2 linked regions of the Saccharomyces cerevisiae S288C genome follow. The protein of the gene in region 1 binds, or shares a complex with, the protein of each later gene. Each region holds a gene or a part of one and is shown on either strand. Other genes may lie near its edges.

Region 1 (9,543 bases):
TGATACATGTTATTGATATAACAAGTAAATTTAAAATTAATATTCAATCGTCATTGGAAAACTCTGAAAACGAATTAGGAAACGTCATTGAAGAGTTACGAAATTTGGAGTTTGAAACTGAACATAACGTAACAAATTAATAAAATAAATGATATATAATACCCGAGCAATCTACAGCAAAGCTCAGCCCCACCTTTCCGCATTTTAATAACCTGCATTTTGTTCAATTCCACCCTCACTCCCCTTCTCAAGTATTCCAAACCAATTTAAGTAAGTATTGATATGTAGTTATTTTTAAAATAAATATATGTAAGTATATTTGGATGCTTTAATTAGGAATGTTCTATTTTTTTTTTATTTTTTATATTATGGAAGAAAATGGACGTGACGAATCAATAAAAGAAAGAACAGCGACGAAAGAATAAGAAGACGGTGGGAACAAAAAGGTATTATGACTGAATAGATTCAAAATAGGAAGGTGACAATGAAACCAAGCCTATTCACTTCTTCAAATTCTTATAATACATCTTTCTGATTAATGGATGATGTTCCTTCAGTTCTTTGTTTTTATTGGTACTGTATTCCATATATGCCATATCTTCACCGCCAGCAAGACCAGACAATGAACCTTCACCTCTAACGGCCTTTGATTTAAATCTTTTGTGGCCATTTGAACCTCTCCCAACAGAATTGTCAGCGTCATCACCGACCTCGATACCAGCAGCTTCTTCGTTCTTCAATAATACTTCTTGCAATAGCTCTCTACGTTCTCTGGGTGAAGCATATGCCAAATTTGGAATGTTCTCCATTCCGTGTAAATGTGTAATGACTTTGAATGCGTAACCTTGATCTACCAAAAACGCTTGTCTCTTTGTTGAGTAGTACATTTCTTGCGTATCCTTAGAAACCAGAGAATAAAAGAACGCATTGAAACCTTCGTCATTACGTCTTTTAGCTCTTAAAATTCTTCCTAATCTTTGGGCTTCTTGACGACGAGACCCATAGTGCGAAGATATTTGAATTAAACAGGTAGCTTCTGGTAAATCGATGGAAGTATCACCAACTTTTGATAGAAATATGGTATTGATTTGGTCATTGTACTGGAAATTTTGCAGAATGTTCATACGCTCTTGTTGTGGTGTGGAACCATAAATAAATGGTTTTCCCATTTTCAAAGCATATTCTTGTAAGGCGTAAACATTATCTGAAAAAACGATGATCTTATCACCCCTCCTTTCGTGATATTGAATTAAGAATTGGCATGCCTGAAACTTTGTTGGATTCATGATATACAGTAGCATTCTTTTCCTTGCAGTTTCTCTTAAATACTCTTGGTAAAATTCTGCTGTCATGGGACACCAAACCTCTGCACATTGGACATTTGCAATATGTCCTTTTTGGGATAATTCCATCCAATTTGCTTCATAAAGTTTTGGACCAATTAAAAAATTCAGATCACCAATTTTATCATCTTCTCTAACCAGCGTTGCGGTCAGTCCCAATTTGGCGTGTGCTGCGATGGTGGAGACCACCCTACGGAACATTGCGGCGGGCACCACATGAACTTCGTCAAGAATAATGAACCCCCATTCCCTACCGGTCAAGAAATCCATAACTTTTTGTGAATCATGAGACCTGTTTCTTGTGTTTGCCACCATTGAATAAGTGGAAACAACCAAACCGGATTCTGTCTGGAACATTTCCTTATTATCAGAGGTGAAAACAGCACAATTTTCAGGTTGTAAGGTACACCATTGTAAAAATTGCTGCCTCCATTGCATGACGGAGACTGATGAAGTACATAAAACAATTACGGATTTTTTTATAGTACATGCTGCGGTAATACCGACCAAAGTTTTACCTGCGCCACATGGCAAAACAATAATCCCTGAACGAGCACGCCCATTACCAAACATTTTACTCAGCGATTTTTCTTGATAGGGTCTGATTTGAGTGGAAGGTTTCAAATCAATATCTAAATCCGGGTTTCTATGGTCGTTTCTAAAGTCGTATTCTTCCAACACGGGATAATCGATTTCTTGACATCTTTTCTTTACGACTTCAACAGACTCATTGGCAATTTCAAAGGAGTGAACGGCATCAATATCATCATCTTCTTCTTCCCGCTCATTATCACCACCTATAACTGCACTAAACACGGCTTCCACATCGTTCGGATTAACATTAGTAGCGGGTTTTCCAGCGGTTTGCTGAAGTTGTTGCTGTAGTACATCCTCTGGTGGCTGTACTTGATGATCGCTATCTATTCTTAGGGGCCCGATGACGGAATCATTCAGCAACATTTGCAGAATATCTGCTTGTGTAGTCTCCACGAAATATCTATTATGCTTAATAACTAGTTTCACTTTACCGTATGAAATGGTAGCCCCTTTAATGAAGTTGATTATCGATTCAGCAACGGGTACTTTGGATAATCTATCCAGAACTGAAATGATATCATCCGTCTCCAACCCTACAGAAACAGCTGCATACAAAGAGTATGCTGTGATCTTGTATTCATGAATATGGGAGGGTCTACTTATAGGCTCTGCAATGGTGACCAGAAAGTCCTGAGCCTGTTCTGCTAATGGAGAGAAACTCTCCAGAATGATCCTACCGTCACTTGGCGAGATCCAAAGGGGCCTGGAAGCATGGTCTGGTCTTAACCGCAAATAACTAAAGTCATGGCTTCTGAACATTCCAGAGACGGAATCTGGAACGAAATCTGCTGGTATATCGCTATTAGTGTCCTGCAAAAGCGCTTTATCCTTAGCGTCCATTTGATTCATAGAGGAATCCGCCGCTGTATGCCTGCTACTCTTGGTCTTTTTCCGAGGCTTCTTCAACCCTGTTACCATGGCGCCGGTATCCCTTTCTCCACGTCCTTCTGACGTTTCCCTGTTATCATCATAGTTCTCATCGATCTCTGCATCAGTAGCTGGTGAATCCTCATCTGATGAGAAAAAGGACTCACCCATATCTGGAAAGATTTTCCCCTTGCTCTTAGGTTGGTAGCCTTCAACGTCCGTCATGATTTATCTTCCACTGATTCCAACGTCAGTAGATGCTACTTTTACTAAATAATGTAGATATCATTACTATTATCTATCCTTACTAAGGACCTTTTTCCTTATACTTCTTAGAAGAAAAACCTCGTTTCTAACGATCTGAAATTTTTTTCTCTTCGCGGTGGCGAGTTTAAAAGACAAGAGCAGAGCAATAAAAAAGAGGATGAAAGGTGGCCATTAAATAGGCAAGAAGAGTCAGTCGTACAAAGCTCAAAAGATTCAGGATGAGTGTACAGATATTTGGAGACCAGGTTACAGAAGAAAGAGCGGAAAACGCCCGTTTGTCGGCGTTTGTCGGTGCCATTGCCGTGGGTGATTTGGTGAAAAGCACATTAGGCCCAAAAGGGATGGATAAATTATTGCAAAGTGCGTCCAGTAACACTTGCATGGTAACAAACGATGGTGCTACGATTCTGAAGTCAATTCCGCTGGATAATCCCGCAGCCAAAGTGTTGGTGAACATCAGTAAGGTGCAGGATGACGAAGTTGGAGATGGTACCACTAGTGTTACTGTTTTGAGCGCAGAGTTGCTTAGAGAAGCAGAGAAGTTGATTGATCAATCCAAAATCCACCCTCAAACTATTATTGAAGGTTACCGACTAGCTTCAGCAGCCGCATTGGATGCGTTAACGAAAGCGGCTGTTGACAACTCTCATGATAAGACCATGTTCCGTGAAGATCTGATCCATATTGCCAAGACTACTTTATCTTCCAAAATTTTGTCTCAGGATAAGGATCACTTCGCAGAATTAGCAACTAATGCTATTTTGAGATTGAAGGGCTCCACTAACTTAGAACATATTCAGATCATTAAGATTCTTGGTGGAAAGCTATCAGATTCGTTCCTTGACGAAGGTTTCATTCTTGCCAAAAAATTTGGTAACAACCAACCCAAGAGAATTGAAAATGCTAAGATTCTAATCGCCAATACAACTTTGGATACAGACAAGGTCAAAATATTCGGCACCAAATTCAAAGTCGATTCTACTGCTAAATTGGCACAACTAGAAAAGGCAGAACGTGAAAAGATGAAGAATAAAATTGCCAAGATTTCCAAGTTTGGTATCAACACTTTCATCAATAGACAACTAATTTATGACTATCCAGAGCAATTATTTACAGATTTGGGCATAAACTCAATTGAGCATGCTGATTTTGAAGGTGTAGAAAGGCTCGCCCTGGTTACAGGCGGTGAGGTGGTGTCTACATTTGACGAGCCAAGTAAATGCAAACTGGGAGAATGTGACGTGATCGAGGAAATTATGCTTGGTGAACAGCCATTCTTGAAGTTTAGTGGTTGCAAAGCTGGTGAAGCTTGTACCATCGTCCTAAGAGGTGCTACCGACCAAACGCTTGATGAAGCTGAGAGATCCCTGCATGACGCATTGTCCGTGTTGTCACAGACCACAAAGGAAACAAGAACTGTTCTTGGCGGCGGTTGCGCCGAGATGGTCATGTCAAAAGCTGTGGACACCGAAGCTCAAAACATCGACGGAAAGAAGTCCCTTGCCGTGGAGGCTTTTGCCCGTGCTCTGAGACAACTGCCAACCATTTTGGCAGATAATGCTGGTTTTGACAGCAGCGAACTTGTGTCCAAACTAAGATCCTCCATATACAACGGTATCTCCACCTCAGGTTTAGATCTCAACAACGGAACCATTGCCGACATGAGACAGTTAGGTATCGTCGAGAGTTACAAGCTAAAACGAGCAGTAGTCAGCTCTGCATCTGAAGCCGCTGAAGTTCTACTAAGGGTGGATAACATCATCCGTGCAAGACCAAGAACCGCCAATAGACAACATATGTAACATATTTAGGATATACCTCGAAAATAATAAACCGCCACACTGTCATTATTATAATTAGAAACAGAACGCAAAAATTATCCACTATATAATTCAAAGACGCGAAAAAAAAAGAACAACGCGTCATAGAACTTTTGGCAATTCGCGTCACAAATAAATTTTGGCAACTTATGTTTCCTCTTCGAGCAGTACTCGAGCCCTGTCTCAAGAATGTAATAATACCCATCGTAGGTATGGTTAAAGATAGCATCTCCACAACCTCAAAGCTCCTTGCCGAGAGTCGCCCTCCTTTGTCGAGTAATTTTCACTTTTCATATGAGAACTTATTTTCTTATTCTTTACTCTCACATCCTGTAGTGATTGACACTGCAACAGCCACCATCACTAGAAGAACAGAACAATTACTTAATAGAAAAATTATATCTTCCTCGAAACGATTTCCTGCTTCCAACATCTACGTATATCAAGAAGCATTCACTTACCATGACACAGCTTCAGATTTCATTATTGCTGACAGCTACTATATCACTACTCCATCTAGTAGTGGCCACGCCCTATGAGGCATATCCTATCGGAAAACAATACCCCCCAGTGGCAAGAGTCAATGAATCGTTTACATTTCAAATTTCCAATGATACCTATAAATCGTCTGTAGACAAGACAGCTCAAATAACATACAATTGCTTCGACTTACCGAGCTGGCTTTCGTTTGACTCTAGTTCTAGAACGTTCTCAGGTGAACCTTCTTCTGACTTACTATCTGATGCGAACACCACGTTGTATTTCAATGTAATACTCGAGGGTACGGACTCTGCCGACAGCACGTCTTTGAACAATACATACCAATTTGTTGTTACAAACCGTCCATCCATCTCGCTATCGTCAGATTTCAATCTATTGGCGTTGTTAAAAAACTATGGTTATACTAACGGCAAAAACGCTCTGAAACTAGATCCTAATGAAGTCTTCAACGTGACTTTTGACCGTTCAATGTTCACTAACGAAGAATCCATTGTGTCGTATTACGGACGTTCTCAGTTGTATAATGCGCCGTTACCCAATTGGCTGTTCTTCGATTCTGGCGAGTTGAAGTTTACTGGGACGGCACCGGTGATAAACTCGGCGATTGCTCCAGAAACAAGCTACAGTTTTGTCATCATCGCTACAGACATTGAAGGATTTTCTGCCGTTGAGGTAGAATTCGAATTAGTCATCGGGGCTCACCAGTTAACTACCTCTATTCAAAATAGTTTGATAATCAACGTTACTGACACAGGTAACGTTTCATATGACTTACCTCTAAACTATGTTTATCTCGATGACGATCCTATTTCTTCTGATAAATTGGGTTCTATAAACTTATTGGATGCTCCAGACTGGGTGGCATTAGATAATGCTACCATTTCCGGGTCTGTCCCAGATGAATTACTCGGTAAGAACTCCAATCCTGCCAATTTTTCTGTGTCCATTTATGATACTTATGGTGATGTGATTTATTTCAACTTCGAAGTTGTCTCCACAACGGATTTGTTTGCCATTAGTTCTCTTCCCAATATTAACGCTACAAGGGGTGAATGGTTCTCCTACTATTTTTTGCCTTCTCAGTTTACAGACTACGTGAATACAAACGTTTCATTAGAGTTTACTAATTCAAGCCAAGACCATGACTGGGTGAAATTCCAATCATCTAATTTAACATTAGCTGGAGAAGTGCCCAAGAATTTCGACAAGCTTTCATTAGGTTTGAAAGCGAACCAAGGTTCACAATCTCAAGAGCTATATTTTAACATCATTGGCATGGATTCAAAGATAACTCACTCAAACCACAGTGCGAATGCAACGTCCACAAGAAGTTCTCACCACTCCACCTCAACAAGTTCTTACACATCTTCTACTTACACTGCAAAAATTTCTTCTACCTCCGCTGCTGCTACTTCTTCTGCTCCAGCAGCGCTGCCAGCAGCCAATAAAACTTCATCTCACAATAAAAAAGCAGTAGCAATTGCGTGCGGTGTTGCTATCCCATTAGGCGTTATCCTAGTAGCTCTCATTTGCTTCCTAATATTCTGGAGACGCAGAAGGGAAAATCCAGACGATGAAAACTTACCGCATGCTATTAGTGGACCTGATTTGAATAATCCTGCAAATAAACCAAATCAAGAAAACGCTACACCTTTGAACAACCCCTTTGATGATGATGCTTCCTCGTACGATGATACTTCAATAGCAAGAAGATTGGCTGCTTTGAACACTTTGAAATTGGATAACCACTCTGCCACTGAATCTGATATTTCCAGCGTGGATGAAAAGAGAGATTCTCTATCAGGTATGAATACATACAATGATCAGTTCCAATCCCAAAGTAAAGAAGAATTATTAGCAAAACCCCCAGTACAGCCTCCAGAGAGCCCGTTCTTTGACCCACAGAATAGGTCTTCTTCTGTGTATATGGATAGTGAACCAGCAGTAAATAAATCCTGGCGATATACTGGCAACCTGTCACCAGTCTCTGATATTGTCAGAGACAGTTACGGATCACAAAAAACTGTTGATACAGAAAAACTTTTCGATTTAGAAGCACCAGAGAAGGAAAAACGTACGTCAAGGGATGTCACTATGTCTTCACTGGACCCTTGGAACAGCAATATTAGCCCTTCTCCCGTAAGAAAATCAGTAACACCATCACCATATAACGTAACGAAGCATCGTAACCGCCACTTACAAAATATTCAAGACTCTCAAAGCGGTAAAAACGGAATCACTCCCACAACAATGTCAACTTCATCTTCTGACGATTTTGTTCCGGTTAAAGATGGTGAAAATTTTTGCTGGGTCCATAGCATGGAACCAGACAGAAGACCAAGTAAGAAAAGGTTAGTAGATTTTTCAAATAAGAGTAATGTCAATGTTGGTCAAGTTAAGGACATTCACGGACGCATCCCAGAAATGCTGTGATTATACGCAACGATATTTTGCTTAATTTTATTTTCCTGTTTTATTTTTTATTAGTGGTTTACAGATACCCTATATTTTATTTAGTTTTTATACTTAGAGACATTTAATTTTAATTCCATTCTTCAAATTTCATTTTTGCACTTAAAACAAAGATCCAAAAATGCTCTCGCCCTCTTCATATTGAGAATACACTCCATTCAAAATTTTGTCGTCACCGCTGATTAATTTTTCACTAAACTGATGAATAATCAAAGGCCCCACGTCAGAACCGACTAAAGAAGTGAGTTTTATTTTAGGAGGTTGAAAACCATTATTGTCTGGTAAATTTTCATCTTCTTGACATTTAACCCAGTTTGAATCCCTTTCAATTTCTGCTTTTTCCTCCAAACTATCGACCCTCCTGTTTCTGTCCAACTTATGTCCTAGTTCCAATTCGATCGCATTAATAACTGCTTCAAATGTTATTGTGTCATCGTTGACTTTAGGTAATTTCTCCAAATGCATAATCAAACTATTTAAGGAAGATCGGAATTCGTCGAACACTTCAGTTTCCGTAATGATCTGATCGTCTTTATCCACATGTTGTAATTCACTAAAATCTAAAACGTATTTTTCAATGCATAAATCGTTCTTTTTATTAATAATGCAGATGGAAAATCTGTAAACGTGCGTTAATTTAGAAAGAACATCCAGTATAAGTTCTTCTATATAGTCAATTAAAGCAGGATGCCTATTAATGGGAACGAACTGCGGCAAGTTGAATGACTGGTAAGTAGTGTAGTCGAATGACTGAGGTGGGTATACATTTCTATAAAATAAAATCAAATTAATGTAGCATTTTAAGTATACCCTCAGCCACTTCTCTACCCATCTATTCATAAAGCTGACGCAACGATTACTATTTTTTTTTTCTTCTTGGATCTCAGTCGTCGCAAAAACGTATACCTTCTTTTTCCGACCTTTTTTTTAGCTTTCTGGAAAAGTTTATATTAGTTAAACAGGGTCTAGTCTTAGTGTGAAAGCTAGTGGTTTCGATTGACTGATATTAAGAAAGTGGAAATTAAATTAGTAGTGTAGACGTATATGCATATGTATTTCTCGCCTGTTTATGTTTCTACGTACTTTTGATTTATAGCAAGGGGAAAAGAAATACATACTATTTTTTGGTAAAGGTGAAAGCATAATGTAAAAGCTAGAATAAAATGGACGAAATAAAGAGAGGCTTAGTTCATCTTTTTTCCAAAAAGCACCCAATGATAATAACTAAAATGAAAAGGATTTGCCATCTGTCAGCAACATCAGTTGTGTGAGCAATAATAAAATCATCACCTCCGTTGCCTTTAGCGCGTTTGTCGTTTGTATCTTCCGTAATTTTAGTCTTATCAATGGGAATCATAAATTTTCCAATGAATTAGCAATTTCGTCCAATTCTTTTTGAGCTTCTTCATATTTGCTTTGGAATTCTTCGCACTTCTTTTCCCATTCATCTCTTTCTTCTTCCAAAGCAACGATCCTTCTACCCATTTGCTCAGAGTTCAAATCGGCCTCTTTCAGTTTATCCATTGCTTCCTTCAGTTTGGCTTCACTGTCTTCTAGCTGTTGTTCTAGATCCTGGTTTTTCTTGGTGTAGTTCTCATTATTAGATCTCAAGTTATTGGAGTCTTCAGCCAATTGCTTTGTATCAGACAATTGACTCTCTAACTTCTCCACTTCAC
Region 2 (5,291 bases), on another chromosome or scaffold:
AAACACATTTAGAGAAAAAATATCGTACTGCATTCTAGATCTTTTGAATCATTTTTATAATTACTACTTGGGGCTATTTAATTCCTTGATTGGTACTTCTGATAGACATTTAACTAGGAAAATAATTACGGCATGGTTGCAGAATGGTATTTTGATGGATCAAGAACAAAAAATTCTGAATGGGGATGAGACACTCTTTCATGAAGAATCCATAGAGTTATTTAAGGAAATACCTCATTTCTATCAAGCGGGTAAAGGTTTGAGCAAATCTGATTTATTCAATAACTTGACATTGGACACAATTCTGCAGTTTTCGGCAAGCGTGTTATGGATATTAAACTGGCTGCCAGGCTTAAAAAAGGCTATCAATATTGATGAAGTAAGCCAAGAACCCATGTTAGATGCTGATAGATTAAGGAGCAGCTGGACATTTTCTGAATCAATGGATTTAAACTATTCGAACCCTAGTTCCAGCCCAAATTCATTAGGAAATCTAAAAATTTTATTGGATGATAAAGCCTCCAAAAAATTTGATGAGACTATCGACGGATTCAAAACCTTGAAATTCAAACTAATCACTATACTGAGGTTCAACATTAGGGCCTTGTGTATATACGACATCGGGTCTTTTTTTCAAAACACCAAAATTTGGAATATGGATGTGGGTAGTATTGAATTAGATCAAAATATAGCTTCTCTAATTTCCGAATTAAGAAGGACTGAAAGCAAATTGAAACAACAGTTACCAGAAAAGGAAAAAAACTCCATATTTATTGGTCTTGATATAGTCAACAACTACGCCTTGATTAAGGGTGCCAAATCCATAAAAGTTTTGAACCATAACGGGATAAAGAAAATGTTGAGAAATGTAAATGTCTTACAACATGCCTATAGAAATCTTTCTTCTGAACCATCAAAAATTAATATGAACGTCACAATGAATTTTTACTCTTTATGCGGCTCCAGTGAAGCTGAACTATTTGAATATATAAAAGACAATGAATTACCGCATTGTTCTGTCGAAGATTTGAAAACCATATTGAGGCTGCAGTTTAGCGAGGAAATGCATCGTCAATTGAAGAGACAAAGCACTAGCTCAACTAAGGGTTCCATAAAACCTTCCAATAAGAGGTACACTGAAGCTTTGGAGAAACTAAGTAACCTCGAAAAAGAGCAGTCGAAAGAAGGAGCCCGCACCAAGATTGGAAAACTTAAAAGCAAATTGAATGCTGTCCATACTGCAAACGAAAAATGACATTTTTAGTTTGTGTAAAATTAATTTGATAAATAAATGAATGAAAATGATCAATAATAAGCGAATAACTATATTTTTAATTACCTTATTTTTACAATATTTTTCACTTGCACTTTTATTTTATTTTCAGCGCGCAGCTCGTCTTGTTCTGTTGAAATTCAAAGATACCTGAAGGAACATTACAACATCAATCAACACTTGAGTAGAAATATACACGATCCAATAAAATATACTGAAGCGAAGCAATCAGAAATGGATGCAATATCTGATCCAACGTTTAAGCATGCTAGATCAAGAAAACAGGTTACTGAAGAATCACCATCTTTGCTTACCGTTATTATAGAAATTGCACCAAAGTTATGGACAACTTTTGATGAGGAAGGAAATGAGAAAGGAAGTATAATAAAGGTTTTAGAGGCATTGATAGTATTTCTCAATGCTCACTTAGCGTTCAATAGCGCCAACAAAGTAGCAGTCATTGCTGCATACTCTCAGGGAATCAAATATTTATACCCAGAGAGCACATCTGCTCTAAAAGCCTCTGAATCTGAAAATAAAACCCGTAGTGATCTTAAGATTATTAACTCAGATATGTATAGACGTTTTAGAAACGTTGATGAGACGCTAGTGGAAGAAATATATAAACTATTTGAGTTAGAAAAGAAACAAATCGAACAAAATAGTCAAAGGAGCACGCTAGCAGGTGCCATGTCAGCTGGGCTGACTTATGTAAACAGAATATCAAAAGAGTCAGTAACTACCTCATTAAAATCAAGGCTACTTGTTCTTACGTGCGGGAGTGGCAGTAGTAAAGATGAAATTTTCCAATACATCCCTATAATGAACTGTATTTTTTCCGCAACAAAAATGAAATGTCCCATTGATGTCGTAAAGATTGGTGGTTCTAAGGAAAGCACGTTTTTACAGCAAACGACGGATGCCACAAATGGCGTTTATTTACATGTTGAATCTACAGAAGGGCTAATTCAATATTTAGCAACTGCAATGTTTATTGATCCGTCGTTAAGACCTATAATTGTTAAGCCAAACCATGGATCTGTAGATTTTAGGACATCATGCTATTTAACAGGGAGAGTTGTTGCCGTTGGATTCATCTGTTCAGTTTGCCTATGTGTCTTATCAATCATACCGCCCGGAAATAAATGTCCTGCTTGTGATTCTCAATTTGATGAGCACGTAATTGCCAAGTTGAAGAGGAAACCAGTTGTTCCAAGGTTGAAAGCCAAAAAGAAGGTGACGAAACCATGAACGAAAGGAATGAACATTATCCGTTTCAAGCAGGTAACCTTCGTCACAATGCATCGTAATAATACATAAAAAAAAATTAGCTTTAAGCACATGTATATTGGACATTCCACAGAAAAAAAAAAGCTTTTGATGTGATTAGCTTAAGACGTTGTGTCATCTTTGAACTGTTTTGACTTCAATCATATCGAATTTGATAATATAACTATCTATGTACTGTCTGGGTGCATCGCTGTTGTTGCTTCGGTAGATTTATTAGTTCGCTTTGGATAATGTATCATACAATAACATTGCCAACATCCATCATAACAGAAACATTAGGTGATAAACAATGAAAAGAGGAGAAAGCCAGGCGCCTGATGCCATCTTTGGTCAATCTCGTGCATTTGCACTATCTGATTCTTCAGTGAATCCTGATGTCATTGAATATCTTAAAAGTGTTAGGCAAGAAGCACTAAGAACCAACGCCATATCGATTAAGAATCATATGAATCTGCAAAAGAGGACGCGTCACAAATCAAGCATGTACGATGATGAGGATGAGGGGGCCCTTAAAAGGCACGCCATCTCGCCATCCTTGATTAGGCTTCAAAGGAATGTAGAAATATGGGTAAGGTGGTTTAACTCTGTGAAGGCGACGGTGTTGACTAATGCCTACGAGTTTACCGGTTATGAGGACGAAACACTGGATCTTTTATTGCTTTTCTTAAAGAATTATCTCGAAGATATGCCCAGCAAATGTACTACAGTTGAAAAAATTATAAGTGTCCTAAATCAGCATTCCTTTCCTGAGAAGGCAGAAGAGAAGGAAGAAAATCTTCAGATTGATGAGGAATGGGCGAAGAATATTTTGGTACGGCTGGAAAAAACCAAGATTGACAGTGTTGAGGATGTAAAAAAAGTAATCACTGAAGGAGATAAACATGAACTAGTTGGATACAACCAGTGGTTCCAATACCTTATAAACAATGAACCGCAGCATACTACTTTTCATGAAAAGATTACCTCTAAGCAACTTTGGGTTCTGATCAAGTATATGTCGAATACATGGATAAAAGAAATACACAAGAAAGGAAGGCATTATCGTCGGCTGCAAGATTGGCTATTCTACATACTGGTACATACACCCGAAAGAGTCACGGCAGAATATACAAGCATCTTGAGAGATCTTGGAAAGAAATGCCTTGAACTGATTCAAAAGAAGCCAGTTGAAGCACATGAGAATAAAATAACACTCCCGAAGGAGATGGCGGAATTGAATGTTGAGATACCAGCCGCGGTGGAGAATATGACGATAACTGAGCTGACAGTGTCTGTTATAGCAGTGAACTATGGTCAAAAAGACTTGATAGAATAATGTAAATAAATTTCTTATGTAGTTTTTTACAGGAAGTAAAAAGTGTTATTACTTTGATTGACTCATTCTTACATTTACTGATAGGCCGAAGATAAGCGGCGCCCTAAGAAAACTCGAGCGCAAATTGTCAGCGATGATGTAGCCATGCTATAGCATCAATCAATGTCAATAAGCTAATAACAACTATCATCTATACTCCAACGCAGCTCTCTTGTTTAGGTTTCTCGTCAATCAAATTCGCATCACGAAGAAGTATGTCTGAAGAATTTCCATCTCCTCAACTAATCGATGATTTGGAAGAACATCCACAGCATGATAATGCTCGAGTCGTGAAAGATTTGCTTGCAGGTACAGCGGGTGGTATTGCGCAAGTGCTAGTGGGCCAGCCCTTTGATACGACAAAAGTTAGGTTACAAACATCGAGCACCCCAACAACAGCCATGGAAGTCGTCAGAAAGCTGCTTGCCAATGAAGGGCCTCGCGGGTTTTACAAAGGAACTCTGACGCCATTAATTGGTGTTGGTGCATGTGTTTCATTACAATTTGGTGTTAATGAAGCTATGAAGAGATTTTTTCATCATCGCAATGCTGATATGTCATCGACTTTGTCATTGCCACAGTATTACGCATGTGGTGTCACAGGCGGTATAGTAAACTCATTCTTGGCGTCCCCAATTGAGCATGTCAGGATTCGCTTGCAAACACAGACTGGCTCAGGCACCAACGCAGAATTCAAGGGTCCTTTGGAATGCATCAAAAAATTAAGACATAACAAGGCCTTGCTACGTGGTTTAACACCTACAATATTGAGAGAAGGTCATGGATGTGGCACATATTTCTTAGTGTATGAAGCGTTGATTGCTAACCAAATGAACAAAAGACGTGGACTAGAGAGAAAGGACATTCCTGCATGGAAACTTTGTATTTTTGGAGCATTGTCTGGCACTGCCTTATGGTTGATGGTATATCCATTAGATGTCATCAAGTCTGTCATGCAAACGGATAATTTACAAAAGCCTAAATTTGGTAATTCTATTTCCAGTGTAGCCAAGACTTTATATGCCAATGGAGGGATAGGCGCTTTTTTCAAAGGGTTTGGTCCTACCATGCTAAGAGCTGCTCCCGCCAATGGTGCCACTTTTGCTACTTTTGAATTAGCGATGAGGTTATTGGGTTGATAATTCCTATAGAATTTATGAGCCATCGTTTAAGAAAATAGTACAATATAATGTATAACTTGAAACTCTATCTTCTTATATTCAATAGATGCTACTATGCGTACATATATATGGTGAGTGTGTGTGTTTATATATGCGTAGTAATCACTCGGCAATGTGGAATTGTTACCGTGATAGCCTTCATGCTTACTCTTCCAACCTTCTTAGCAAGTATTCCACCTCAACTTCCTTAGTG

Evidence for each region. The genes of interacting proteins can lie anywhere in the genome.
Region 2: SSL2 (region 1) and TFB4 share a complex: the UniProt entries of both Saccharomyces cerevisiae proteins name them as parts of the 7-subunit TFIIH core complex.

Annotation. Positions count from the first base shown.
Region 1 is NC_001141.2:80,010-89,552, forward strand, and holds SSL2 (TFIIH/NER complex ATPase/helicase subunit SSL2), read right to left. Parts: upstream 3,033-9,543; coding exon 501-3,032; downstream 1-500. Other genes in the region: kinetochore-associated Ndc80 complex subunit NDC80, read left to right, coding at 1-140; chaperonin-containing T-complex subunit CCT2, read left to right, coding at 3,293-4,876; AXL2 (Axl2p), read left to right, coding at 5,357-7,828; REV7 (Rev7p), read right to left, coding at 7,970-8,707; tropomyosin TPM2, read right to left, coding at 9,221-9,543. UniProt on the Saccharomyces cerevisiae protein: ATP-dependent DNA translocase. Component of the general transcription and DNA repair factor IIH (TFIIH) core complex. When complexed to CDK-activating kinase (CAK), involved in RNA transcription by RNA polymerase II.
Region 2 is NC_001148.4:669,619-674,909, forward strand, and holds TFB4 (TFIIH/NER complex subunit TFB4), read left to right. Parts: upstream 1-1,507; coding exon 1,508-2,524; downstream 2,525-5,291. Other genes in the region: exocyst subunit SEC8, read left to right, coding at 1-1,255; BRR1 (Brr1p), read left to right, coding at 2,853-3,878; YMC1 (organic acid transporter), read left to right, coding at 4,133-5,056; chorismate mutase ARO7, read right to left, coding at 5,243-5,291. UniProt on the Saccharomyces cerevisiae protein: Component of the general transcription and DNA repair factor IIH (TFIIH) core complex, which is involved in general and transcription-coupled nucleotide excision repair (NER) of damaged DNA and, when complexed to TFIIK, in RNA transcription by RNA polymerase II.